Macaca fascicularis: one gene and its partners. Each later gene encodes a partner of the first gene's protein in a complex. Links are inferred from orthologs where the notes say so. Each region holds a gene or a part of one and is shown in the gene's direction. Other genes may lie near its edges. The genes, in order: TMEM216, CEP290, TMEM67, B9D2, AHI1, CC2D2A and TMEM107.

Evidence for each region.
Region 2: TMEM216 (region 1) and CEP290 share a complex: the UniProt entries of both Homo sapiens proteins name them as parts of the tectonic-like complex. The link is inferred for Macaca fascicularis from reciprocal best matches to the Homo sapiens genes TMEM216 and CEP290.
Region 3: TMEM216 (region 1) and TMEM67 share a complex: the UniProt entries of both Homo sapiens proteins name them as parts of the tectonic-like complex. The link is inferred for Macaca fascicularis from reciprocal best matches to the Homo sapiens genes TMEM216 and TMEM67.
Region 4: TMEM216 (region 1) and B9D2 share a complex: the UniProt entries of both Homo sapiens proteins name them as parts of the tectonic-like complex. The link is inferred for Macaca fascicularis from reciprocal best matches to the Homo sapiens genes TMEM216 and B9D2.
Region 5: TMEM216 (region 1) and AHI1 share a complex: the UniProt entries of both Homo sapiens proteins name them as parts of the tectonic-like complex. The link is inferred for Macaca fascicularis from reciprocal best matches to the Homo sapiens genes TMEM216 and AHI1.
Region 6: TMEM216 (region 1) and CC2D2A share a complex: the UniProt entries of both Homo sapiens proteins name them as parts of the tectonic-like complex. The link is inferred for Macaca fascicularis from reciprocal best matches to the Homo sapiens genes TMEM216 and CC2D2A.
Region 7: TMEM216 (region 1) and TMEM107 share a complex: the UniProt entries of both Homo sapiens proteins name them as parts of the tectonic-like complex. The link is inferred for Macaca fascicularis from reciprocal best matches to the Homo sapiens genes TMEM216 and TMEM107.

The regions. Positions count from the first base shown.
Region 1 is NC_088388.1:12,645,537-12,648,238, reverse strand, and holds the end of TMEM216 (transmembrane protein 216), read left to right. Parts: intron 1-955; coding exon 956-1,205; intron 1,206-1,493; coding exon 1,494-1,509; 3' UTR 1,510-2,077; downstream 2,078-2,702. UniProt on the Homo sapiens protein: Part of the tectonic-like complex which is required for tissue-specific ciliogenesis and may regulate ciliary membrane composition.
Region 2 is NC_088385.1:95,016,173-95,020,143, reverse strand, and holds part of CEP290 (centrosomal protein of 290 kDa), read left to right. Parts: intron 1-465; coding exon 466-573; intron 574-1,192; coding exon 1,193-1,392; intron 1,393-3,971. UniProt on the Homo sapiens protein: Involved in early and late steps in cilia formation. Its association with CCP110 is required for inhibition of primary cilia formation by CCP110.
Region 3 is NC_088382.1:103,464,265-103,467,095, forward strand, and holds part of TMEM67 (meckelin), read left to right. Parts: intron 1-2,099; coding exon 2,100-2,242; intron 2,243-2,831. UniProt on the Homo sapiens protein: Required for ciliary structure and function. Part of the tectonic-like complex which is required for tissue-specific ciliogenesis and may regulate ciliary membrane composition.
Region 4 is NC_088393.1:48,502,848-48,507,613, reverse strand, and holds the start of B9D2 (B9 domain-containing protein 2), read left to right. Parts: upstream 1-1,596; 5' UTR 1,597-1,696; exon of another isoform or gene 1,697-1,792; intron 1,793-1,916; exon of another isoform or gene 1,917-1,963; intron 1,964-2,204; 5' UTR 2,205-2,208; coding exon 2,209-2,296; exon of another isoform or gene 2,297-2,440; intron 2,441-4,766. UniProt on the Homo sapiens protein: Component of the tectonic-like complex, a complex localized at the transition zone of primary cilia and acting as a barrier that prevents diffusion of transmembrane proteins between the cilia and plasma membranes.
Region 5 is NC_088378.1:39,537,082-39,541,747, reverse strand, and holds the start of AHI1 (jouberin), read left to right. Parts: upstream 1-1,742; 5' UTR 1,743-1,925; intron 1,926-2,258; 5' UTR 2,259-2,320; intron 2,321-3,796; 5' UTR 3,797-4,187; intron 4,188-4,666. UniProt on the Homo sapiens protein: Involved in vesicle trafficking and required for ciliogenesis, formation of primary non-motile cilium, and recruitment of RAB8A to the basal body of primary cilium.
Region 6 is NC_088379.1:14,667,560-14,671,530, forward strand, and holds part of CC2D2A (coiled-coil and C2 domain-containing protein 2A), read left to right. Parts: intron 1-563; coding exon 564-665; intron 666-1,680; coding exon 1,681-1,857; intron 1,858-3,971. UniProt on the Homo sapiens protein: Component of the tectonic-like complex, a complex localized at the transition zone of primary cilia and acting as a barrier that prevents diffusion of transmembrane proteins between the cilia and plasma membranes.
Region 7 is NC_088390.1:8,261,199-8,265,808, reverse strand, and holds TMEM107 (transmembrane protein 107), read left to right. Parts: upstream 1-1,592; 5' UTR 1,593-1,717; coding exon 1,718-1,804; intron 1,805-1,980; coding exon 1,981-2,048; intron 2,049-2,131; coding exon 2,132-2,250; intron 2,251-3,090; exon of another isoform or gene 3,091-3,189; intron 3,190-3,356; coding exon 3,357-3,453; intron 3,454-3,698; coding exon 3,699-3,768; 3' UTR 3,769-3,970; downstream 3,971-4,610. UniProt on the Homo sapiens protein: Plays a role in cilia formation and embryonic patterning. Requires for normal Sonic hedgehog (Shh) signaling in the neural tube and acts in combination with GLI2 and GLI3 to pattern ventral and intermediate neuronal cell types.

The DNA.
Region 1 (2,702 bases):
ATCATTCTCTAATAATCTTCAGGGTGCAGGGACATGGAGGCCTTTCACTTTCTATATACTCAAAAATTATTTTCTGTGTTGAAATTTTTTTTTTTTTTTTTTTTTTGAGACAGAGTCTCACTTTGTTCCCCGGGCTGGAGTGCAGTGGCATGATAGCTGCTCACTGCAAGCCCCGCCTCCTGGGTTCACACCATTCTCCTGCCTCAGCCTCTGGAGTACCTGGGAACAGGTGCCCACCACCACGCCTGGCTAATTTTTTTATTTTTTTATTTTTATTTTTATTTTTTTTTGAGACGGAGTCTCGCTGTGTCACCCAGGCTGGAGTGCAGTGGCCGGATCTCAGCTCACTGCAAGCTCCACCTCCCGGGTTTACGCCATTCTCCTGCCTCAGCCTCCCGAGTAGCTGGGACTACAGGCGCCTGCCACCTCGCCCGGCTAGTTTTTTGTATTTTTTAATAGAGATGGGGTTTCACCATGTTAGCCAGGACGGTCTCGATCTCCTGACCTCGTGATCCGCCCGTCTCGGCCTCCCAAAGTGCTGGGATTACAGGCTTGAGCTATATTTTTTTGTATTTTTAGTAGAGACGGGGTTTCACTGTGTTAGCCAGGATGGTCTCGATCTCCTGACCTTGTGATCCGCCCGCCTCGGACTCCCAGAGTGCTGGGATTATAGGCGTGAGCCACCGTGCCCGGCCATTAAAAATTTTTAAATGATTATATATTATTTTTATAATAAAAAAAAATTTTTTTCCCAAATAAAGATCCCATTGTCTCTTGAGTGGGGACCAGACTGGAAGCAGGACCTCTGGATTAAGTGACTTTAATCTTGTAACTCTGCCAAGCCTCAAACTTTCAGTACAGTGGGACCCCATTTATAAATCTGTGCACCCCACTCAGGATCATTTTTTGTGCCTTGCCATTCCATCACATATCCCACATCTTTCCCCTGGGCCAGGAAAAGCAGACCATTTGGAGATGACTCCATGGGTTCTGTCTGACACAGGTACAAAGGGAAACCTTTGCCAACGAAAGATGCCACTCAGTATTAGCGTGGCCTTGACCTTCCCATCTGCCATGATGGCCTCCTATTACCTGCTGCTGCAGACCTATGTACTCCGCCTGGAAGCCATCATGAACGGCATCTTGCTCTTCTTCTGTGGCTCAGAGCTTTTACTTGAGGTGCTCACCTTGGCTGCTTTCTCCAGGTACTGCTTCGCTGAGGGACCATTTCTCATCACCAGAGGGTTGGGTTCCCATCCCAGGGAGGGATTCAGTATTCTTCTGAAGCCTAAGGGATCTAGAAGACTTTTCTCTAGTGGGGGAAAGGGGTGGCTAGTGGATTGCCTTTCCTGTTTAGGGTAGGTAGATCGATTCCCACTCAGGGAGGATACTCTCCCTATTCTTTGGGGCCAGGAGACTTGGAATATAGAACAGTTGAGGCCAGCTACTCTCATTCACTGGTCTTTTAACATTTTCTTTCTTTCTGCCATCAGTATGGACAGAATTTGAAGTACAGAATTTCAGCCAGCAGCCCATCAGGCTGACACCACACATATTGCTTCTGGTACTTTAGCCACACCAGTGAGAATTGGTGGGGCAAGTTATCCTGAGAAAGGCTGTGTGGCTTTTCTTCAGCACATACATTTGGGCAAGCAACTCAGCATAAGGCCAGTGGGTGCCATCTTCTAAACCAGGACATCAACCCGAGAGACTGTTCTACACTCCAGCATAGGGACGGGCAAGGTTATTCCCATCCTGCCCCTTCTCAGAACCAGTCCCCTGCTGACCTCAAGTTCTCCTCTTTGATCACCGTGGCCAGAGCATCTCGTGTGGACCATCTAGGCTCCTTGGGCTTCAAGCAGGACCTGAGCCACATGCTCCCTGTACGAGTTGTGCCATACCTGTCCCACATGAGCACAGAGAGCCTCATGTTGGTGGGTTTCCAGAGTGATGCGAAAGCCTCTCACCCCAGTCCTCGGAGACTGAGTTTCCAGAACGTTTTTAGTAGCTCATAGTGTTATTTTTCTACTGTCATCATGTAACTAACTTTATTTTTAATAAATATGTATTTTCTGTTGTGGGGGTTGCAGCCTTTCCTTATGGCACCTGTCCCTAGAATTCATCTACTCCAAGAGAGGGTCGTGACTATCCCAGCGGTTTGTTCTCAGGAGCTTTGCTTAGTGATACAGTGTGCACACAAAGGCAGTGATGACCACTGATTTTCTTCCCCAAGCTGCAGCCTAAATTAAACCCTGAATGCACTGCCATCCTCTGTATCTTATTCAAGTCTCTCATCATGCAAAAGACTGCTTATTTGCTTCACTCTGCCCCAAAGTCAGCATCTGGTCTCACTCTTCTTACAGGGAATTGTTAGCTCTTTTCCAGTGGGCCATGTGTAACTGGAAGAAGCGTATTCTAAACTAACTTTTTTTTTTTTTAAAGTTTGGAGACAGTGTCTTAGTCTGTCATCCAGGCTGCAGTGCAGTGGCATGATCTTGGCTCACTGCAACCTCTGCCTCCCTAGCTCACGCGATCCTCCCACATCAGCCTCTCAAGTAGGTGGGACTACAGGCACACACCATCATGCCTGGCTTTTTTTTTTTTGAGACGGGGTCTCACTCTGTCACCTAGACTGGATAGACTGCAGTGCAGTGGCACGATCTCAGCGTACCGCAACCTCTGCCTCCTGGGTTCAAGCGATT
Region 2 (3,971 bases), on another chromosome or scaffold:
TTTGTGTAAATGTATCTCTCTTATACACTGACTAAATAAACCAGGAGTAGCTATCATGGTGAAATCACATGATTTTGAAAAATATTTTAATTTAGTTTATAGGTGAGGGTTGAGGCAATAGGGGGGAATGAAATATATCACACTGGTAATCAGTAGAAATCAGATTTGTTAGAACTTTGTGGGGGAAAGCTGACATTTAATTTTTTCTAGAAATAAGTTAAAAGATGATAGATACGTGTTATTCTAATGTTCAGAATAAATTATGAACTGAGGCTGGGCCTGTCAACTTGAACACTGTGCGAGGGAACATGCCTACCGGTCTAAATACATACATATATGGAGATACTGTTTCTTCCTCATCTCGAAGGAATTTTAGAAGATTAAAGAGAAAATATATAAGGTCTTCAAAATGTGAATTTATTTTAATCACAATTTAAGATATAGTTTTGATTTTCTTTAAAACAGGAGCAAAGAGAAATTGTGAAGAAACATGAGGAAGACCTTCATATTCTTCATCACAAATTAGAACTACAGGCTGATAGTTCACTAAATAAATTCAAACAAACAGCTTGGGTAAGATTCTAAGAACTTTGTTCCATTCTTTATTGATTTTTAGACCAAATACATTAAAATTCAGTTATCTTCTCCTTTTTTGGAATACAAGTTACGCTTTTTGTTGCCAAAGTAATCTTCTGAAAATGTAGCTCTGATCATTCTTCCTCCTGTAGCTCATCACTGTTCACAAAATTATATTTATACTCCTTACCCATATACTCAATCTTCTATGAACTTACCTGCCTTTCTTTTCAAATTCTATTCACTATAAGTTTACCTATATTTAACTTCCGGAATTCAGCTCATATTTGCCTCTTTTGACCATTCTGTTCCATATGTATGAAATGATGTGTCTTTCATCTTTTAATGTATAACCTTAGCATATTTGAGCCTTACTTCATTAATTCAGTCAACATTTATTGATCTCCTGCTACATGTAGACACTTTGTTAGCTATTGTAAATACAAAGAATAAGGTCTATATTTCCTGTCTTCTTTAAGCCTTCATTATCTGTTAAATCATTAAATTTTAGATTAGATATTGTATTTTGATCATTTGAAGAACCAATTTAAAAATATAGAATAAGTATGGCATTGAAATATACATGCCTGTTTGCTAATATATTCATATTTTATAGGATTTAATGAAACAGTCTCCCACTCCAGTTCCTACCAACAAGCATTTTATTCGTCTGGCTGAGATGGAGCAGACAGTAGCAGAACAAGATGACTCTCTCTCCTCACTCTTGATCAAACTAAAGAAAGTGTCACAAGATTTAGAGAGACAAAGAGAAATCACTGAATTAAAAGTAAAAGAATTTGAAAATATCAAATTACGGTAAGTCTTCAAAATGTATTGTAAAAATAGGCAAATGATAATAATGATATAATGAAGATAAACATAAGTGTTTGCTATGCTAGGCACTGTTCTAAGACTTTTAAGTATATTGTCTCATTTTTATCCTCAGGTCTACTGATTACATATGTTATCATTTTCCCCATTTTATAGAGAGGATATGACCTCAGGAATGCTTAATAGCATGCCTGGGAGTAGATGGGAAAGCCATAATTTGAAACTAGTCAGTCTGACTCAAAAGCCAATACAAATTCTTTTCCAGAATCTCATTTTTACCTTATTCAAACCTCAGTTTCATCTTATTTATTTATTTATTTTTATTGTTTTATTTATTTATTTATTTTTGAGAAAAGTCTGGCTCTATTGCCTAGGCTGGAGTGTAGTGGCATAATCTCGGCTCACTGCAACCTTGACCTTCTGGGCTCAAGCTATCTTCCCACCTCAGCCTCCAGAGTAGCTGGCACTACAGGCAGGTGCCACCACACCTGGGTAGTTTTTTGTATTTTTGTGGAGACAGGGTTTCTCCATGTTGCCCAGGCTGGTCTCGAACTCGTGAGTTCAAGTGATCCGCCCACTTCGGCCTCCCAAAGTGCTGGGATTACAGGCCTGAGTCACTGCACTTGGCCTCATCATCTTTAAAATGGAAATAGCAGTACTTACCCTGGCCCTTTCAGGGTGGTTATATGAAGGTCAAATTATACCATGTATGAAAGTAATTTGAAAACTGTCAAATAACATACAGATAAAAAACTTTTGTTTGCACACTTATAAGAGTGTCTGGCATATAATAGAGATTCTAACATTGTTCAACCAATTTATCAGAACATAGATTTTAAGCTCAAAATAGGTTTATAGTTTCGTAGTTTCTAAACATTGTAGTATTATCTGTATGGGCCTAAATTTTATTATCTGAAAAAACATGAGAAAGTTGAACTACTTGACTTATAATTCCATTTCAGCTCTCAAGCCCCTATTAGAGCCTTTGATTCTTTACACTCTTATTCAAATGCCTATGACAGAATTAACACTATTTTTGTTTTACTAGGGAGCTGCCACTGTTAAGAAATTACTTTCTAAAAGAAGGAAAATTGGCAGCAGCATATGTGTATTTTCAGTCTCTTTTCCTTGCTCTATTAAATTTTGTACATGAGATGTTATTTTTGGTCTAGTAAATTTCTGTCATGTTTTGGAGTATAAAATGACTTGTGCTTTTGCATCCAATTTGTGGGTGTAGAAAATAATAATCTTTTGAAATACCTTATATAATTTTTTTCCACATGAAATAATTGAAGTTATTGTTGTGTACCTTATCATGTCATTGTAGCCCAAAATTGTACTTGTGTTCTCTGTGTGCCCATTTTGATGTATATTAGGAAATTATGGATCCGTGTGATTACTTAAGTAAAACCTGATATTTTCACAATTTGATGATGACTCTTTAAAGTTAGACTTAAGTTTTGCCAAAAGCAAGAAGCCTCAAAGAATAACATTTGTTCATGTGTTAATGCTGTCTCCCTCTTACTGGTCAGAACCTCAGTACGGATGCAGTGTCCATATGCACAACAATATATTAATTCAGTTTAACAGACTTAATGCTGAATGAGCAATAAGATTAATTGAATTAACTAAATCTTTTAATACTATCCACTTCCATATATATATATAGTTACAGATACAATGCTAGTGAATTTGTACCATAAACAAATAAATAATACATGTGATTTCTGTGAAAATTTATATTAGTCTTTTCAATATGTCAATATAGGGCAGTATTTCTCAAATATAGAGGATCAGTTTTTCACAGTTGTACCTCTTGGGGACATTTGACGATGTCTGGAGACATTTTTGATTGTCATGGCTAGGGGGTGCTACTGATATCTAGTGGGTAGAATCAAAAGATGCTACTAATCATCCTATCATACACAAGGCAACCCCACTAACAACAAAGAATCATTCACTCAAAAATGTTACTAGTAGTGTGGTTAGGAAACTATCATATAGAGGAAGCAGTCAAATTTTACAAGAGCCATAGTATCTAAAATGCCCTTTTGTTCATTCTCTATATTATTTGATTAGAGTCACAAAATAATTTGATAAGATTGTTGCCAAAAATATTAGAAACTAGAAGAAAAACGTGTTGTTAAATTAAAGAGTAGTTAAGTGAAATAAAGAATTACTCTTCTCTGGATTTGGCTGCCTGCATCAAGATTTAGATTGTAAGGATAGTTAGGACTGAACATTTGCTCTGTGTGAAATTTGTATTAATCAAGGTATTAATTGCAGCAACCACTCTATTAATTACATGTGTTTGGCCAGGTGCGGTGGCTCATGCCTCTAATCCCAGCAGTTTGGGTTTATCAGCCGAGGCGGGCTTATCACCTGAGGTCATGCGTTCAAACTGGCCTGGCCAACATAGTGAAACCCCATCTCTGCTAAAAATACAAAAATTTTGGGGGCCTGATGGTGCACGCCTGTAGTCCCAGCTACTCAGGAGGCTGAGGCAAAAATATCACTTGAATCTGGGAGGTGTTGGTTGCAGTGAGCCGAGATTGCGCATGTGC
Region 3 (2,831 bases), on another chromosome or scaffold:
GGCGGGTTTTCACCATGTTGGCCAGGCTGGTCTTGAACTCGTGACCTCAGGTGATCTGCCCGCCTCGGCCTCCCAAAGTGCTGGGATTACAGGCATGAGCCACCGTGCCTGGCCCTATTATTTTTAATAATACAATAGTCACCTTCTTTCTTCCTGCTTTTTTTCTTCCTTTCTCCTTCAGTCTTCCTTCCTCTTCCTCCTCTTTCTAACTGTATTCTTCCATCTCTCTATCTTCTTCTTTTTTTTTTTTTTTTTGGAGATGGAGTTTCGCTCTGTTGTCCAGGCTGGAGTGCAGTGGCGCAATCTTGGCTCACTGCAACCTCCGCCTCCCAGGTTCAAGCAATTCTCCTGCCTCAGCTACTCGAGTAGCTGGAATTACAGGTGCCTGCCACCACACCTGGCTAATTTTTGTGTTTTTGGTAAAGATGGAGTTTCACCATATTGGCCAGGCTGGCCTCGAACTCCTGACCTCAAGTGACCTGCCCACCTCAGCCTCCCAAAGTGGGATTGCAGGTGTGAGCCACCGCTCCTGGCCTCACTATCTTCGTCTTCATCAAGAGCTGATGAGACTATGAGCTAAGGCAGTAGCAGTGGGGCTAGAGAAGAAAGGATTGCCAGAAATGTTAAGGGAAAAGACTAGTCAAAAATTATCCAGACTTCTGGCTGTGTGACTAAGTGGGTGGTGGTGCCTTTCAATAACAGAGGCAATACAGAAGGAGGACCAGGTTTTGAGGGAAAGAGGATGAATTTAGTTTTCAGTATGTTGCATCTTGAGGTACTTTAGGACATCTAGGAAGAGGTATCCAGTAGGCATTAAATATAAGGGACCAGGTCGTAGGAGAAAGTAGAAGCACACAATAAATTGAGGAGTTGCTATCATATGAAGTCATTGCTGGAGCAGTGTTAGTAGAAAATCACCAAGAGACAGTATGTAAAACAGGTTTATTTTTAAGATTATATATGCAAGTATAATGTGCATATTTTGTAAGGATATAACTTATAGGTCAGTGAATTTTCACAAACTGAATATACCCCTGTAACTAGTACCCTTTCAAGAGAGAACATTACCAGCACTCCAGATGCCCCCTTGTATAAAGCAGATGTTCCTAACTGGGTATCCCCGGGCTGCTTCAGTGGTTTTCTGGATTTCCCTGAAATTGTTGGCAAGACTTGTATATGTATGGTTTTTTTTTGTTTTTTTTTTTCCTGGTGGAAGGGTCTTTAGCTTTCATCAGGCTTTTGTAGTTTTTTGTTTGTTTGTTTGTTTGTTTAGAGACAGGTTTTTGCTCTGTTGCCCAGGCTAGAGTGCAGTGGTGCAATCATATTAATAGCTCGCTATAACCTCAGACTCCTGGGTTCATGCACTCCTCCCATCTCAGTCTCCCAAATAGCTAAGACTACAGGTGTGCACCACCAGATCCTTTTTCTTTTTTTTTGGTAGAGATGGAGTCTCACTATGTTGCCTAGGCTGGTCTTGAACTCCTGGCCTCAAGCAGTCCTCCTGCCTCAGCCTCCCAGAGTGCTGGAATTACAGGCATGAGACACTGTGCCCGGCCTCATCATAATCTTTTTAAAAGGGTGTTCACATCCCAATAAGGATGAAACCCGCTGGTGGAGTGAGAAGAGAACTTAGAGCAAAACCTTAAGGGGACTATTTGAAATAAATTATTGAACTCTTGAACACTGTGTACTATTCTGTGCCTTGCTGGGTTTTTTCTCTAATATACTCTATCTTAGGGAATGTTTGTAAGATTAATTTAGCTTTTAGTTACATAAAGAAATAGAGAAAGGCTATTTATTAACTGGTCTTTGAAACTTACACTACTAGCAGTTACCAACCATTGGTCCTAATGTTAAAACTGCTTTATAGGAGGTGTTATGAGTTTTTTAACTAACCTCTTTTAGATGAGCAAATCTTAAAATTTTTGTTTATTTTTAATTTAATTATTTTGTTTATTTTTGTGTAAGCCATGAATTATTGTATATAGTATGTTTCTAATGTGCTATTTTTAAATATCCAGATTTTGTCACCAGAAATTTATCACAGACTTGTTCCTTTTTTAAATTTCTAATTTATATTTTCTAAACTTTTTTAATAGATGAAGGTTATTCTTTCAGCAGTGTCCTGTATTATGGAAATGAAGCTACCCTTCTTATTTTTGATCTGCTGTTCTTCTGTGTTGTGGATTTGGCTTGCCAAAATTTTATTTTAGCATCCTTCCTTACATATCTACAACAAGAGGTAAATTTTAAAAATTTTTCTACATTTCCCTTCATTTTCTTGAGAGAAATATGTTAGAAGTAGATATTTTCATAGCAGAGAGTAACAATGTCTACTTTTACTACAATTTTGTAAAGGTTTAGAATATGACTAACCCCACCAAAAGGAGGAATAACATTTCAAACAACTGTACTCTGTCCTTTAGGGTCAATGAAATACTGAGGTCTAGTGGAGGGCATCAGTTGCTTGATTATACATGGAAGAGGAATCCTATAGGAAGACATTTAACTACTAGTCTCCTAGATGCTACAAGTGAACAGTAATTAGAGTCCCATCCACCCTCTCCACCAGATGTTAAGTAACAAAAAAACAGGCACTGGAGAGCTAGCTCAGGGCTCAGCACCAAAGGGAAGCCCCCTTTAGCCTGCAGCTTTGACACCTCGTCTACCAGTGTAGATGAAAAGCAACTTTGTGTATGAGTGTGGACCCTGAAATAGAGATCTCAAGAAATGGCAAATCTGTTCTTGAAATGGTGTTATTATCAACTAAATATTCTCCACTATGTCAAAGAAGTATATATGAGTAAGATGCAATTTATTAGTCCTTGACA
Region 4 (4,766 bases), on another chromosome or scaffold:
CAAAATGAGGGCTTGAGAAAAGAGAGAGCAAGGCTGGTGCCACCACTAGGGGACCAGAGGCCCCAAGAGCTGAAAGGTTAGAGCTGTCTTCCTCACCCACACAGCATCCAGAAAGATATAAAAAACCCATCTCTACTAAAATTACAAAATTAGCTGGGTGTGGTGGTGTGCGCCTGTAGTCCCAGCTACTTGGAAGGCTGAGGCAGGAAAATTGCTTGAACTGGGAGGCAGAGGTTGCAGTAAGCTGAGATCGCACCACTGCACTCCAGCCTGGGCGACAAGGCGAGGTTCCATCTCAAAAAAAAAAAAAACTAAACTAACAAAAATCCAAAATTATAAGGAGGGGGCAACATTTCAGTAGGATAACATTTATATTAAACAATTCACTGGAATATTTCACTAGTTGATATATGCATTATTTTGTTTTTTATTTTTGTAGAGATGGGGGTCTCACTATACTCGACCTTCTGGCCTCAACAGCTCTTCCCGCCTCAGCCTTCCAAAGGGCTGGGATTACAGTCATGAGCCTAGCCAAGGGTGGCTTTTAAATACTCGTGTCTATTGGCCTGGCTGGGTGGCTCAGGTCTGTAATCCCGGCAGTATGGGAGAGCAAACTGGGAGGCTAGCTAGAGCCCAGGAGGTCAAGACAAAGGCTGGGCAACACAGCAACACAGCAGGACTCCATCTCTTAAAAAAAAAAAGAATTAGCCAGCCGTGGTGGTGCATGTGTGTGATGCCAGCTACATGGGAGGCTGAGGTAGGAGGATCCCTTGAACCCAGGATTTCAGAGGCTGCAGTGAGCTGTGATCAAGCCACCGTACTCCAGCCTGGGTTACACAGTGCGACCCTTTTATGGAGTCTTGATGGGACCTGATGACTGGCTTGATGTGGGAAATGATGGCATCTATGATGGCATCCAGGGACATCTCCATTTCTTGATTGAGAAATCAATCAATAGAAAAGAGGATTTTCTGCAAATAAGGGGATCCCAGTTCCTCATTTCTCTTCGCTACCCCAACGGTTCCTTGCTCAGACTCAAGCAGTTTAACAGTGAACTTGGTAGTAGCTTGGTAGAAGTTGGGTAAGTCCAACTTCCTTCCTTGTCCTTGAAAAACCTAGGGGAACTCTAAAACGGAAGCAGAACCCACTCCCCAATTTCTCCACTCTCTGTGAATGAGGAGTGATTTTTTTTGCTTTGTTTTCCAGTTATGAGGTAGGGGATGTACATGAGGTCCTGGAAGGAATTCCTCCTTGGTCATAGTTCAGTCTCTGATTTGTGATCCCGGACCATAGAGAGCTCTTCGGTGGGGTCCTCACGCAGCACGGAGCAGTTACGGATTTGCTTTTTTTGGTAAAGAGGACATCTGGGAGAAACTGCACTCAAACTTCCTCAGCCACACTCAACATGGCAGCTTCCTAGCCACGGCCAAAATGGCGGAACCCTTTGCCGTAGCTGGAGAGACGCTATTTTCCCAAAATGGAGCGAGAGGAGGAAAATGTCCATCACAGTTTCACCCCGCCTCCCGGGGACGGCTAGCACCAATCAGTGGCGCGGAGGGCGAGTACAAAGCCAGGGGAGGAGCCTGCTGTTGCTCCAGCAACAACCACGGAACCCAAGGCGAGCGCGGACGCGGAATATCGCGGATTCCATTTCTCGCAGCCGGGAAGGTCCTGGGAAAGGCGCGAGCCAGGCCTGGTAGGCGCCCGCGGAGAAAAAAACGAGTCAACTCAACCCCATGAACTACAACCCCCGTTGCCGCTTTCGCCCCTCCTAACCGTTAAGTGCGCCAAGGTAGGAATAACGCATGCGCTGCGCTTGGAGGCGTGGCTAAGTCGGCCCGGAACTCAACGCATGCGCCTTATAGAGCTTGCTGGGTGAGGGAAGCGGGGTGGCTGACATGACGCGGAAGGCGGGTCTTTTCGCTCGTGGGCGGGGCTTTCCGCTGACCTGAACCCAAAGAAGGTATTTTAGACCTCGCAGAGTTAAATGCTGGTTCCCCAGACAAGGGTCCCCCCATTTTTTCCAGGCTTTCATGGGTTGGCAATTAGGATCTGTGGTCAAGACCTCAGCCTCAGGGGTGTGAGGAAGCTAGCTTGGAATCCTAGTACTACCCTTTACTTGCTGGGCCTCAGTTTCCCCTCCTGTCAAATGGAGATAATATACTTACCTCACAGGGTTGTGATTATATTTTTTCCCATCCCAGGGCCATGGCTGAGGTGCACGTGATCGGGCAGATCATGGGGGCCAGCGGTTTCTCGGAAAGTAGCCTGTTCTGCAAGTGGGGCATTCACACAGGTATTCCCCCAGGCCTGGTTAATTTCCACACCAAGACCCCTAGCCTAGAGGCTGCATGCTCCTTCCTCGACCTGTTAACGCAGCGCCTTAACCTCATCTTCCATCAGCTCTCTGTACTCCAGGCTTAGCCCACACCCTGTCCACGTGAGTCTCAAGCTCCCATCTGTTTTTTCGTTTGTGCAGGGGCTACGGACAGGGTCTCTCTCTGTCGCCCAGGCTGGAGTAAGGTGGTGTGATCATAGCTCACTGCAGCCTCGAACTCTTGGGCTCTAGTGATCCTCCCACCTCAGCCTCCTGAGAAGCTGGGCCTACAGGCACGCACCACCAAGTGTGGCTAATTTTTAAACTTTTTGTAGAGACAGGGTCTCGCTATGTTGCCCAGGCTGGTCTCAAACTCCTGGGCTCAAGCAGTCCATCCGCTTCAGCCTCTCAAAGTGCTTGGATTAAAAACATGAGCCACCACATCCCAGGAAAGTAATTTTGTTCATGCTTCCCCAACTGAGGCCCTGTAGAGTCATGGTATAGTGTAATGGTTAGGGCCATGGGCTGCCAGATCTGGATTTAAATACTAACTCTCCCTTCTATTAATTGGAGACCTTTGGACTTGACCTCTCTGAGCCTCAGTTTCCTTGTCTGAAAGTGAAGCTAATAGCAGCCAAGAAGCAGCACAGGTTTGAGGTTAAGAGCACAGACTGCCTGGGTTCAAAACTAGTTATTGCTTGTTAATGCACCCTTGGGCTGATTATGTGACCTTGGGCACTTCTCTTCACCTCGACTTCTCTGTTTGTACAATGAGAGTAATAGAAATATTTACCTGTTGAAGTTGTCATGAGTACTAAACAAATATCAACAGCACTTAGAATAGGAATAGGGCTGGAATATGAAGTTCCCATTCAGTGTTTGCCTGGCTCATACAAGACTTTGATGGGGTCTTGTTTGTAAAGCCTGGGGTATGTTGTTGCCTGGCACAGATAAATGTCCATGAAACAGATGTGGCCATTGGGCATTATCATGTCTTCAGGCCTGAGTCTTAGTCCCTTTTTTTTTTTTTTGAGATGGAGTCTCTCTCTGTTGCCCAGACTGGAGTGCAGTGGCGCAATCTTGGCTCACTTCAAGCTCTACCTCCCAGGTTCACGCCATTCTCCTGCCTCAGGCTCCCATGTAGCTGGGACTATAGGCACCCGCCACCATGCCCGGCTAGTTTTTTTTGTATTTTTAGTAGACAGGATTTCACTGTGTTAGCCAGGATAGTCTCGATCTTCTGATCTCGTGATCCACCTGTCTCGCCCTCCCAAAGTGCTGGGAGTACAGGCGTGAGCCACCGCGCCTGGCCGTTTTTTTTTTTTTTGAGACAGAGTCTCACTCTGTCGCCAGGCTGGAGTGCAGTGGCACAATCTCGGCTTACTGCAATCTCTGCCTCCTGGGTTCAAGTGATTCTCCTGCCTCAGCCTCCCGAGTAGCTGGGATTACAGGTGTCCACCACCACACCCAGCTAATTTGTGTATTTTTAGTAGAGATGGTGTTTCATCATGTTGGCCAGGCTGGTCTCGAACTCCTGGCCTTAAGTGATCCGCCCGCCTAGATCTCCCAAAGTGCTGGGAGTACAGGTGTGAGCCACTGCCCCTGGCCTCTGGTCCTTTTTGATTCTACAGGTAAGTGAGGTAGAAGTTGAGATTCCCAGGAAATCAGGACCCTCCAGTTGATGGAAGAGAGGCAGACTCTGGAGTCAGACTTGGTTTCCAGGTTCCACCCCACCACTCACCTTCTCTGTGACCCTGGGCAGATGCCATCCCCTCTTAGAACCTCAGTTTCCTCATCTGTTCTTCATAGGGCTTTTGGGAAATCTTGCTTTTAAGCAGCCTGACTGAGGGCCTGGTGCTTCCCTCACTCAGCCCAGAAGGGAGTAATGACTAACCTGATTTTTATTACTTCAGGGAGTTGCTGGGGGTGTTGACCCAGCCAAGAATACTGAGGCAGTTGGATGAACGGCTTGGGCTCTGTAGTTAGAGCTGAGTCTGAATCCAGTTCCATGATGGGACCTTGGTCTGCTATAGTCACAGCTATGTCACCAGCATGGAAAACAGTGCTTGGCACACAGCAGGTGCTCAATAAATGTTCATGAACTTACCTTTTCAGAGCCTGTTTCTTTACCTGTTAAATGGGGATTATATTAGCTCCCAACTCCTAGGATCACTAATTTGTCCAAGAAACATTTATTGAGCACCTTCTGTATACCAAGAGCTGGGTTTGTGGTCTTGGAGATCCAGCAGTGTGCAAGGTCCCTGTTTTCCTGGGCCATACGGTAGGGGAGACAGAAAATAAATAAGCAGGCCAGGCACGGTGGCTCATGCCTGTAATCCCAGCACTTTGGGAGGCTGAGAAAGGCAGATCACCTGAGGTCAGGAGTTTGAGACCAGCCTGGCTAACATGGTGAAACCCCATTTCTACTAAAAATACAAAGAATTAGCTG
Region 5 (4,666 bases), on another chromosome or scaffold:
GACAAATGAAAACTACATAAAACACCTACAATGCATAGCTCCTAGAAGGAGCTCAATATATGTTATCCATTATTCATTCAACAAATGTTCATGAAATGCCAACTATTTCATAGATACTGTGGTAGATACTGGGGATAGAAAAAATACAATGTAAACTATGAAAATATAGAATGAGTATGTAAAGTCTAATATACGGAATGAATATCCAAAATCTAATAAGGAGTAGGAGTATTTGAAGGAGTCAGTCAACCTGCTTAAGATTCGAAGGATGGACAACATTTGACTGTGATATGCAGTAGTGTAAAAGGAGGAATTTTCAGGAAGAGAGAACAATATGTGTAAGGACAGGGCGTGCAAGGCTATGGATTGTTTTTCATAGTACACATAATTCAATGTTGCACAAAACTGCATGATACACATGATTCAATATTGCATAAAATTGGAACAATAAGCTAACGAGAGATGAAATTAGTCAGGGAGATGGAGCATCTTGTATCCTAGGCAAAGCAATCATTTTCTCTTACACGTTGCCTTTCAAGAATTTTCAGCAAGAGAGAGCCATTATCCGATTTACATTTTTAGTCAGGACATTCTGATAGCAGTGTGGGGAATTTTAAGAGTCAAAACTGGAGTCACAGGACTGGTAAAGCGCCCACCTGAGGAATTTAAAAAGAGAGAATGAATATGCTTTGGTATAAGATGCATTTAGGATACTCTACAGTTCTTACTAAAACACTGGGAGCAAGTGTTTGACACTTGATAGTGCAAGATTACAGCAAGATAGTGGTGGCTTACAGCAAGATAGAAATCTAGGAGAGTAGGTTTAGAATGCAAAGTTGAACAGCTCAGTTTGGTACACAGCGGATTAGTAATCTTTCTCGTTGCTTCCTCAAAGGATTTAGGGAAGCACATGGCATAGAGATATAGTTTGTAAGGTGTGGCAATGCCAGTGAGAATGGAAAAGCTGGCCTCCGTAAACTCTCTCTCTGTACAAACGAAGCAACAGGTTACAGCGCGTGGCTGTAGGTACAGGAAATGGCGTGTATTCATGAGTCCACGAGTAGCGCAACTAGTATTTTTCCAGCCCTGGTGACTCAGAGCTGAAGATGGCGCCTGCGGCAGAAATCAGAAAAGTGGGAGGGAGCATTAGGTACAGAAAAGTATGGCGTTTTAACTTTTGTTTTCCACACACAGGGAGATAGCTCTAAAGGAATCGTGCATAATTTTTTCTTAAGATTTTGTCTGTAGTACAACTTCATTTTCCACGCTTTAAAATCATGTTTTCTTTTGTGGGCGCGACCGCGTGGGGAGTGACAAATCTGTTTCTTTGCCTCATTCATTGATTTTCTTATTTTGGGCGACTTCCATAACAGCCTCCCCAGTTTTCCTTTGCCCCGTCAGTTTTTCCCTGCGCTTGCTACAATTCTAAGGCGGAAAGAGTATTTTTGGAGGTGAGGGCGGGGAAGACTCAAGCTCTGTGGGAGCACCCGCGCATTTCCGACTCCCTTCCCGCTCGCACGGCCTCGGAGGCTGGAGGCCGGTAAGGTCCCCGAAGCGCGCGCCCACCAACAGCCTGAGGGCCCCGGTGCAGGCGCCGCGCGGCCCCTTCTCCCGGGCTGAGGCGAAGGCGGTGGCGGCGCGGGGACGGGGGCGGGGGCGGGGCCGCGGTCCGGGCCTAGCGCGCGAGACGCGTCGGTCGCCATGGGAACGGCGGTGTAGGCAGGCGCTGACGTCAGCAGGCCGCGAGTCGTCCGCACTGCGGCACAGAGCAGTGGCTTGCTCTCCGAACCCGGGTCGCTGGCGGGTAAGGTGGCTTCGTGGCCGCCTCACTTAGCGCCCGCGCCGCTGGGCGCGGGGGAGTCGATTTGCACTGTTCCGGGTGTCGGCTTGGGCGGGACGGACGGTTCTGCCTACTCCTCCTCTCCGTAAGTACCTCGTGGGTTCGCTGGTGGCGGGAGCGCGGGCCGGGGTGCTGGGCCTGCCCGGCCCTCTCCGGGGCGGCGTGTCGGGGCTGCTGGAGTCCGAGAGCGCGGGGGCTGATCGCGGATTGACCGGGGAGCGTGGGCCGGGTGTCCCGGAGGAATGCGATTTCCCGGAGTCCTCAACGTACTTTTCCGCTTCTTTCACTGGTCTCGGTGTCTCCGGAGAGTTGAGCATGGTGTTCTGATAGGGAATTCAATCTTTGCCTTTCCTACTCCCGATTCTTGTTTAAATGCTTTTAAATCAGATGCGTACTGAGTGTGTTTATTTCCTTTTAGAGTGTCATCCTGGGGCTGAATCTTCAACCTGTCAAAGCCTACTTAATTACGTCTGAGAAAAGGTGATCAATTTGTTAAACTTATAAGAGCCAGATTATATTAATAGGGTTGTTTCGAGATGCATAAAAATAGAATAAAAATGTAGACCATTTAAGCATCCTTATCAAAGGTTGTGCTGCGTTTGGCATTCCTGTGAAAACATCTAATGTGAAAATAAAGTTTTTCCCTTTTGAGAAAGAGATGCCAACAGTTTTTTCACCTGTTGCATTAGCAGTTACTGTTATTGCTTGGGTTAGGAGGAAGATTGCTTCTTATGAGTACTCTGGGAAATTTTTTAAAGAATGCTTGAAAAAATTAAAATACCAAAAGTGTTATTAAACCATACTTAGAATCTTGTTTATGAAGAATAATATTTATGAAGTTAGAATCTTGTGTACTTATGAAGAATCTTGTTGATCTATTCATTGAATTTTGTGTACAGGATTTTTGTTTGTCTTTTTTTCCCTTGCGATAACATTTGGTTAAAGAGGGAATTATCAAGCCTCTCAATTTTTTCTCCCATTGATATTGAGTCACATATTGGCTGATAATCAGGTGGTCTGTAAAATAAAATGAGATGAGGTGTAATCCATTTAATTTTCCTACATAGTATCTCTTAGAAGCTCCTGTGAAAGGGTTTGTGAGGGAGAAGTTGTAAAATAATGGAATATATAAGATTCGGAGGTGTCTTTTAAAGTCCGACCTGAATTTTCGCAGATAATGTTACTAATTAAATATTAGTCATTAATTCTATCATATGTTTGCTGTAGTACACATTAAGATTTAGAGATGGCTGGGCACAGTGGATCAGGCCTGTAATCCTAGCACTTTGGGAGGATCAAGAGTGGGTGGATCACTTGAGGTCAGGAGTTCAGTATCCGCCTGGCTAATGTTGGTGAAAACCCATCTCTACTAAAAATACAACAATTAGCCGGGCGTGGTGGCGCACACCTGTAGTCCCAGCTGCTAGGGAGGTTGAGGCAGGGGAATTGCTTGAACCCAGGAGGCGGAGGCAGCAGTGAGCTGAGATTGTGCCACTGCACTCCAACCTGGGCAACAGAGCAAGACTTTGTCTCCAAAAAAAAAAAAAATTAGAGATTATTTCTATAATGTATTTGCTGTGTTATTAAATAATATTAGTATTTATTCAGTTGTGTATTAAGCTATTAACAGTAAATAATTCTATGATTTCTGTATTTTATTAATAATTACTTATTTTTAATACAATAATACTGGACATAAAGTAATTTTATTGCAGTGTACTCATTACTTTGCTTTTTGGTATTTTCTCCTTGCAGTACTAAAACAGGTGCCATTTTAAATTCCCAGACAAGGAAAAACCAAGGATTAGAAATTAAGTAGCTTACCCAATGCCACACATCAGTAAGTGGTGACACTGGAGGTCAAACCTGAGTCTTTTTTACTCTAGGACCGTTGCTACTGCTTCGCTTTGCTTTGCTTCTCGTGTTTTCTCTTCTCTCTCCTCTTTTCTTTCATAGTGCCAGATACATAACTATAGAGAGCATTGGCGTGGCCTCCAAAGCTAGCAGTTTGGTGGGAGACAGAACATTTAACCAGGATGAAAATTCAGGGCTGAGGTAGAGGGAGTTACAAAGATTCAGGCATCCTGGGAGCACAGAAGAGAAGTGCTTCACTGCCCTTCAAGGTGCGAATGCTCTCTAGAGAAGATACTTGCCTTCAAAGGATAATGAGGAGTTTGTTAGAGTGACAAAGGAGGAAGGACATTTTTCAGGAGAGGGGATATATGTGTAATGATACAAAAGCAAGAGAGGACGTGGCACATGTGAAGGCCTGGAGGTAGTTTCACATGGCTGGAACACAGCGTATGGTGTGAAGGGGACATTTCATAAATGGCCTTGGACCTCAATGGTAAGGACTTGATATTTTTTTCAGTGTGTGATTGGGAGCTAGGGAAGAATTTTAAGCAAAGAAATGACACCGTCACATTTGAATTTTAGAAAATTACACTGATTGCTGTATAGATGATGATTTATTTTTTAAAAGGGTAAGGTGATAGTGGCATGGAAACAATCTTAAAACAAACAGCATAATCCTTCCACAGTGTTTTTGTCCCAGAGTTACTGTCTCATGTCACTGCCTTTAGGGGTGGTGGAAAGACAGTTGGAAGAATTCTGTAAAGAATTGTCTACATGTCCCTTCTACAGGGGTCACCTTCCATTCACCCCTCAGCCCCAGCCTGCTAGGTTTCTGCCCCTCCATAAACAGCTTTGACACACGTGACTTCCTTCTTGCAGATTCAGTGGACTTTCTTCAAAACCTCCAGCCCCTTTTGATGCCACACAGTATATAGGCTACATCTCCTTTAAAACTCTTTCCTTCTGTAATGC
Region 6 (3,971 bases), on another chromosome or scaffold:
TTCATTTTAAAGCTTATTGAGTATACAATTTTATATTTGTTTAGTCTTGAGAGAGACCAGTTGAGTAAGAAAATATTCAGCAACATCAACCTTCAAATATACAGTCATGCATCACTTAATGATGGGGATATGTCCTGAGAAATGTGTTCTTAGGCATTTTGGTCATTGTGTGAACACCATTGTGTGAATGTACCTACACAAACCTAGATGGCATAGCCAACTACACACCAAGGCTACAAACCTGAAGAGCATGTTACTTTTCTGAATACCATAGCAATGTAACACAATGGTAAGTATTTTTTTATGTAAATATAAAAAGGGTAGAGTAAAAATACCATATTTATAGTCTGTACGACCTCTGTCATGCATGCAGTTCTGCAGGTTGTCGCTATGGAGGGCATGACTGCATTTGAAATTTGCCAGCATTCCATGCCTTAGGAATGATAAGATGCAACAGCAGTCAGAAGATAAGCCTTTGGGGCAGGGGGGTTAACCTTCATTTTAGAACAGCCTAAGTTTCTTGGTTTAAATGGCTTATGCATCATTTTTTTCCACTCATATAGCCAGGGAAAGAGGTAGAAAGTACTCAACAAGAAATTGATTCCCGAAGTTATTCAAGAGTCAAGTTCCGTGATTCTGCACGAAAAATCAAGCCTAAACCCCAGGTGAGAAATCTTGTCTTTTTAAACCATTTGTTCATTTGTGCTTTTTACAAATATCCAATGAGAAATGACTACAGGCCGGGTGTGGTGGCCCGTACCTGCAATCTCAGCACTTTGGGAGGCCAAGACAGGCAGATCGATTGAGCACAGGAGTTCAAGACCAGCCTGGACAACATGGCGAAACCCCATCTCTACAAAAAATACAGAAATTAGCCAGGCATGATGGCACATGCCTGTGGTCCCAGCTACTTGGGGGGCTGAGATGGGAGGATCACTTGAGCCCATGAGGTCAAAGCTGCAGTGAGCCATGATTGCGCCACTGCACTCCAGTCTGGGTGACAGAGTGAGACCTCATCTCTAAATTAAAAATAAATAAATGACTACATACACAACCTGACTCCTGTTGCCATGCAGTCTGCAAGAAAAAAGTATGAGAAGTGATTCCAACTTTCATACTAGCTGGAGAGATCAGAATATTCCCTGACTTGAGGAAGAGGGGGTGCATGGAAAGACAGGAAATGTTGGTGATGAGACAATTTGTTCAGCTCTGAAGTTGCCCCAGCTTTCATTACAGGAAAAAAGGAGAGTACTAACTCAAAAAGAGAAACAACAAAAAAAGGTCATTTGTTTAAAAATTTCTGTATTTCTCATAATAAAACAAAAAACTATCTCAGCATTGGCTGATAAAACAATAAATCCACTGTTTGTCATTTTAATAACCTTATCTAAAGTGTTTACTACTATAAATAATATATTTATGTACTTATTGGAATGTAAATAATTGCTGGGTTTTTTTAAAAGTCACTGATTAGAGTTACTATTAAAGGAGGCCTCCCACTGCCTGTGGCAGGTATTAAAGTTTATTACCAGTAATCTCACACCTTTAACTAAGACAGTATGCTTCGGAGGCCTGGAATACGCCTGATCCCATTAGCATCAAGCCAGCTGTCAGTTAATTGTGCAGAGCCCATTACAGCTTATAAATGGGAACTTGCGATTGCTCCTTGCTTTTCGTTAGGTTCCACCTGGCTTCCCTTCTCCAGAAGAGGCCTACAACTTCTTTACTTTCAGCTTTGATCCCGAACCAGAAGAATCAGAGGAAAAGCCAAAAGCAAGACATAGAGCGGGAACTAATCAAGAGGAGGAGGAAGGGGAAGAAGAAGAACCACCTGCACGAGGAAGAGGAAAGGAAATGGTATTTAATATCAGGATGGTAATGTGTGGGTGGAGGGCTAGGAGGAAAAGGGTGATATACCTGCAAGAAAGAAAGTGGCTGAGGAGAAAACCCACCACCACCAGGAAAATGACACTCCCCATGAGTTGAAATCCCAAGTACTGAATTCACATGGCTCCCTGTGCTCTGGGTTAGACCCTACAATGTGGTAAGAAGAACCTTGATTAAACCTGTTTATCTTTCTTTTGTGAAAAAAAAAATTAAATAATGTGGCTTGTGGATTTTTCTTGCTAGACTCCACAAAATGATTAGTATTTATTCCATGTGCAAAGTATGTTCCTCTGCAAGGCAAATGAAACCTCAGTCTCTCTCTTATCGCAACCTTACAAAGTAAGCAGCTTTTTGTGCCCAAACACCACACTCAGGCTACAACTCAAATTCTGCAACTGTGGGTGGTATGTGTGAGATAAAAGGAGAATATACCATTTAAAAATGGGCAAAGGCATTGAATAGACATTTCTTCAAAGAAGACATGCAAATAGACAATAAGTCCATAAAAAGATACTTTACACCATTCATCATAAGGGAAGTGCAAATCAAACCCACAATGAGATACCCCTGCACAGCCATTAGAATGGCTCTTATCAAAAACAAAACAAGTGTCATAGAGGATATGGAGAAATTGGACTTTGATGCATTGCTTGCAACCACGTAAAATAGTGCAGCTGCTGTGAAAAACAGTATGGTGGTTCTTCAAAAGTTAACCACAGAATTATAATATGATCCAGCAATTCAATTTCACTCTGTGTATATATCCAAAAACATTGAAGACAAGAACTTGAACATATACTTGTGCATCAATGTTCATAGCAGCATTATGCACAAAAGCCAAAAGGTAGAAGCAACCCAAGTGTTCACTGGCAGATAAATGGATAAACATAAATATACAATGGAATAGTATACACCCTCAGAAAGCATGGACATTCAGACACATGCCACAACATAGATACACCTTGAAGACATTACACTAAGAAAAATAAGCCAGTCACAAAAGAATAAATATTCTGTGATTTCACTTATATGAGCTACATTGTATAGTCAAAATCATAGAGACAGAAAGTAGAATGGTGGTTGTCAGAGACTAAAGGAAGGAATCAAAGTTGTTATTTAATGGGCATAGAATTTCAGTCTGGGAAGATGGACAGATGGTGGTAATGGTAGGACCACAACGTGAATTTACTTAATGCTACTGAATTGTTCACCTAAAAATGGTTAAAATGGGCTGGGCGCGGTGGCCTGTAATCCCAGCTTTGGGAGGCCGAGGAAGGTGGATCACCTAAGGTCAGGAGTTTGCGACCAGACTGGCCAACATGGTGAAACCCCGTCTCTACTAAAATTACAAAAATTAGCTGGGTGTGGTGGCAGGCACCTGTAATCCAGCTACTCAGAAGGCTGAGGCAGGAGAATTACTTGAACCCGAGCGGCGGAAGTTGCAGTGAGCCGAGATCGTGCCATTGCACTCCAGCCTAGATGACAGAGCAAGACTTTGTCTCAAAAAAAAAAAAAAAAAGAAAAAAAAAATGTTAAAATGGTGGACTTTATGTTATATATATTTTACCACATTAAAAATAATGAAAACACCCTAGGATATTCTAGTATTCACATAATTGGCTTAATTCTCTGCTTTGCTTATAATCTCCTCCTTTGAAAAATGCCTCCCAGAAATGCACTTCTTTTACCTAGATTTATAGAAGCTCAGGAATATTTTAGCTTATACTATAACAATCGTTCTGCAAATCAGCATTCAGCTCATTCAGTGTTGCTTGAGTGTCCTCCTGACATGACAGCTAACTTCCCAAAAGCAAGTGATCTAGGAGAGAACCCAAAAAATAAGCCACACTTCCTTTTATGACCTAGTCTCAGGAGCCACACACTGTCACTTCTGCCATATTCTACTCAGGAGAAGCAAGTCACGAGGCATAGTGCACTCTCAAATGGAGGAGAATTGGGCTTCACCTGTTGATAGAAGTCTCCAGTTGTGAACATCTTCTGAGATTATGACACTTTCCACCAAAGGCCACTTCTCCCTTCCTTTTGCCTATTCACTGCCCCAGAAGCTCTGTTTTCCTAAAATC
Region 7 (4,610 bases), on another chromosome or scaffold:
CGAACCACCACTCCCGGTCAATTTCTGGCCAAAGTTTCTAAAATAAAGTTTAAGAATAAATGCCCTATTTTTATAGAATTATAAATGCCCTACTTTTATAGAATTATAATTCTAGCGTTTCCTTTTTTTTTTTTTTTTTTTTTTTTGAGACGGAGTTGTGCTCTTGTTGCAGAGGCTGGAGTGCAATGGCACGGCTCACTGCAACCTCCACCTCCCGGGTTCAAGCGATTCCACTGCCTTAGTAGCTAATCGAGTAGTAGTAATCGAGTAGCTGGGATTACAGGCACGCGCCACCACATCCGGCTAATTTTGTATTTTTAGTGGAGATGGGGTTTCAGCATGTTGGTCAGGCTTGTCTCGAACTCCTGACCTCAGATGATCCGCCCTCCTGGGCCTCCCAAAGCGCTGGGATTACAGGCGTGAGCCACTGTGCCTGGCCCGCGTATCCCTGTTTGTAGCACCTATTATCTTACGGATTTATTTGTTTGCATGTCTGTTGTTGATCTCCCTGACTAGAATACTATTACTAGGTAATAAATAAATATATAAAAATATTTGTTGAAGGAATGAGAAATGCCTCTTGGGCTTGTACTTTAGTCTGGCTAAAGGCACTGAGACGTCGAGTGGGAAGTAGGAAGATATTGTTCTCCTGGGAAATGGGCCGGGAGTTTCCTTGAGGATGGGACTTGACTGAGCAATTAGAGAAGAACTTTCAGATCTGCAGGGACCTGCGCTGAGGCCCAAAGGTCATGACGTCGCCGGTGATAAGAGCTTCCTGGACTGTAGCTGGGCAATGTCGGAGGTCCAGCACCTCCAAGAGATAAAGAAATCTAAGTTGAGTTTCCCTTCCCGTAGGCTCCAAGCCTCCCAGAGACGCAGGGACTGTACCATTCCCTTCGTCCACTCCCACCTTTCCAGCCACCTTGCTTTGCTCTTATTCCCACGCTAGTTTAAGGACGCGGACCACTTTTTGCACTCTGCAAATCCTTCACCAAACTGAGCAAAGTAGTCTGAGAGAAATCAGTCTTCCTCAAGGAAGGTTCAGGCCTAGGGTCCTCAGACAACCAGGGGCTCTGTGACAATCTGTAACTGCCGAGCAGTCCAGGAACACCGGCCTCTCCACGTTCGGGTCCCTTGTTTCTCAGGCCCAGCTTGGTGGGAAGTTAAAGGCATGAGGAGAGGAGGAAGGGGAGCGGGTGTGAGTCTTCGGCATGGCGGGGACCTCAGCCCGGCGTGGCGGTGGGAGTGATCTCAAGTGATCCACAACTGGGCAGCGTAGCTGGGGCTGGGGGCCGCTCCCGGCGTGGGCAACCGCGGAAGCAGAGGTGTCCCCAGGCTAGGCCAGGGTGGGTTTCCGTTCGTCGGCCCTGCGTGGGCAGATCGGGCGCTGCGCGGCTGTGCCACCCCTCACCCTCTGAGAAACAAAGGGCCTGGCTGCGCACGGGTACCCAGCCATTGGGTTAGAAGCTCCTTCGGGTACCCCTGACCTGAGTTAGCCCTGAAAGACCCACAGCAGATGGAGAATGTACTGCTCTCGCGAGGTTTTCCGAGAACGCGGCAGCACGCCCGCGTACGCGGTTACCAAGGCAACTGGGCGGTGCCTGAGCTGGCGGAAAGGAGGAGTTCGTCTAGATTTGTCCGCTTGCTGGTGGACTTGCGGGAGTCGCAGTCTCTGAACTTCCAGCCTCAGAGACCGCCGCTCTTGTTCCCAAGGGCCATGGGCCGGGTCTCAGGGCTTGTGCCCTCTCGCTTCCTGACGATCCTGGCGCATCTGGTGGTCGTCATCACCTTATTCTGGTCCCGGGTAAGACCCACGGCTGCCCTCCGTCCGCCCCCATTCCCATCTCGGAGTCGTCCCCGCCCCACCCTGCCCCTCTCCCAGTGTCTTACCCACTTGGGTTTTCTCGTGTTCCGCCGTCCCTAGGCCTGCCCAGCAGCCTGCCCCTTTTTCACTTCTCTTCCTCTCTGCCCTGCTCCCAGGACAGCAACATTCAGGCCTGCCTGCCTCTCAGGTTCACCCCCGAGGAGTATGACAAGCAGGACATTCAGTGAGCTCTTAGGACGGGGTGGCCAGAACGAAGAGGTGGTGGGAGTGGAGGGGTCTTAGAAGAAGTCCAAAGGCCTGAGCCAGTCCACTTCCTCTCTGCAGGCTGGTGGCCGCGCTTTCTGTCACCCTGGGCCTCTTTGCAGTGGAGCTGGCCGGTTTCCTCTCAGGAGTCTCCATGTTCAACAGCACCCAGAGCCTCATCTGTATCCTTTCTGCCTGCCCACCTTTCCCACACGACCCATTTCTATCAGGACTCCCTTCAGCCACCTGACACAATAGTGTCTGCTGTAGCCAGTCTCTCCAGTTCAAAGATCTTCAACCATGTGCTAAATCCTGCTGTTTACTAGGCACTTAAAATTCCGAAATGAGAGTAAAATACAGTTTTTGGCCAGGCACGTTGGCTCACGTCTGTAATCCCAGCACTGTGGGAGGCCCGCGCAGGAGGCAACATAGTTAGACCCCGTGTCTACAAAATAAATAGTAATAATAAAAACTCCACTTTTTTTTTTTTTAACCATGAGGAGGAGGTAGATACACATCTGTAATTCAGTGTGATAAGCAGTGTGCTATGGGAGTGTGTAAAGATAGCACAGGCAGGGTGCGATGGCTCATGCCTGTAATGCCAGCACTTTGGGAGACCGAGGCAGGTGGATCACCTGAGGTCAGGAGTTCAAGACCAGCCTGACCAACATAGTGAAACCCTGTCTGTACTAAAAATACAGAAATTAGTCGGGCGTGGCGGTGCACTCCTGTAATCCCAGCTACTCAGGAGGCTGAGGAAGGAGAATTGCTTGAACCCAGGAGGCAGAGGTTGCAGTGAGCTGAGATCGTGCCACTGCACTCCAGCCTGGGCGACAGAGCAAGACTCTGGCAAAAAACGAAAGATATAAAGCACATTGGGAACTCAGAAGAGGCAACGGAAGCCAGGCACATGGGTCAGAGAATTGTGGACCAGGAGGACCAGGACACTGGAGGCTGATTCCAGCGCATATCAAGTCGCTGTCAGCACTCCTGTGTGGCATAGCAGGAGAGCCTACTCTTACCTCTCATCTGAAGGATCCAGGCTGGCCCCTAGATATGGAGTAGGGTAGCCTGAGATCCCATCTGCGCAGTCACTTCTGGTCTCTCCTCACATGACTGTCCTAAAATTCAGAAGTCGGGGATGCTGACTCTAGCCCTTGCAATATGGTGAGGGAGCAAACGATGAACCTGAATGCAGATGCCAACCCCACCACTGGCCTTTGGCCTTTTCTGACCCCTCACTATCTGTCGATCCAAAGACTTTCCTTAACTCTGGTGCCTTCCCAAGCCATTGGGGCTCACTGTAGTGCATCCGTGGCCCTGTCCTTCTTCATATTCGAGCGTTGGGAGTGCACTACGTATTGGTACATTTTTGTCTTCTGCAGGTGTGGTAGCATCCAATATTCGGGAATGAGGGAGGAAGGCTGACCCTAAACCTGAGGGTTTTTCCCCCACCCAGCCCTTTCCTCTATGTGTGAGATACCAGATCCACTTAACATCCTGTAGTCTTTTGAATTTTCATTCCCTACCCCATGCCACCTGTCCTACACTTTCAGGGGTGGGGTCTCTGGTTTGGAGATTTGGGTATTTATATTGAAAGGGTTTCTGAATTTACCACTTGCCTCGGTAGTGCCCTTCCAGCTGTCACTGAAATGACTTTATTCGTCACCGTCTTTGGGCTGAAAAAGAAACCTTTCTGAGCACCTTCATGACGGGAACCTAAGGACGAAGGCTACAGGGGCAAGGGCCGCTTCGTATTCCTGGAAGAAGGAAGGCATAGGCTTCGGTCCTCCCCTCGGAAACTGCTTCTGCTGGAGGATATGTGTTGGAATAATTACGTCTTGAGTCTGGGATTATCCGCATTGTATTTAGTGGTTTGTAATAAAATATGTTTTGTAGTAAGATTAAGACATATACAGTTTTCAAGGCACAATTGAGATGGCGAAACTACTGAAGAAAAAAAAAGAAGCAACGTTATTTTCTAGTTCTGCAGACCGTAAGATACTTGGTATCGCTTCTATTTTGGTTATTACGGTAGTTGTCTGGCGGAAGGGAGTGGGCGGAGATATGTAAATAGAAAGTGCTTACAGTTAGAACGTCCAGCACGTAAATGATCGGAGCATTCTGGGAAAAAGAAATGTATTCCTTTTCGGCAGCCGAATGAAAAAATTCTTTTAAAAATGTGCAAGCAAATATGGCAATACAACTGGAAGGATGCTAAGTAGTAGGGTTACTCATACCAACGCGTCGTGAACTCACCCTAGCTGTAAACGGAATCTTTTTGACTGAGTGCGGAATGTCGGCTCTTTAGAAATATCGTCAGGTGGGATAATCCTTACCTGTTCCTCTTTTGGAGGGCAGATGAGAACATGATGATTGGAGAATGCATGAAACGTGATTAACGTCTCTGCGTAATCAGGACTTGCAACACCCTGATTGCTCCTATCTGATTCTTCCTGACGATCACTTACGTTTCTGTTATGTTGATTGTAAGTTTAGTTAATGTAGTTATCATGCGGTGCAGGGAATAGTTTCTGTATTT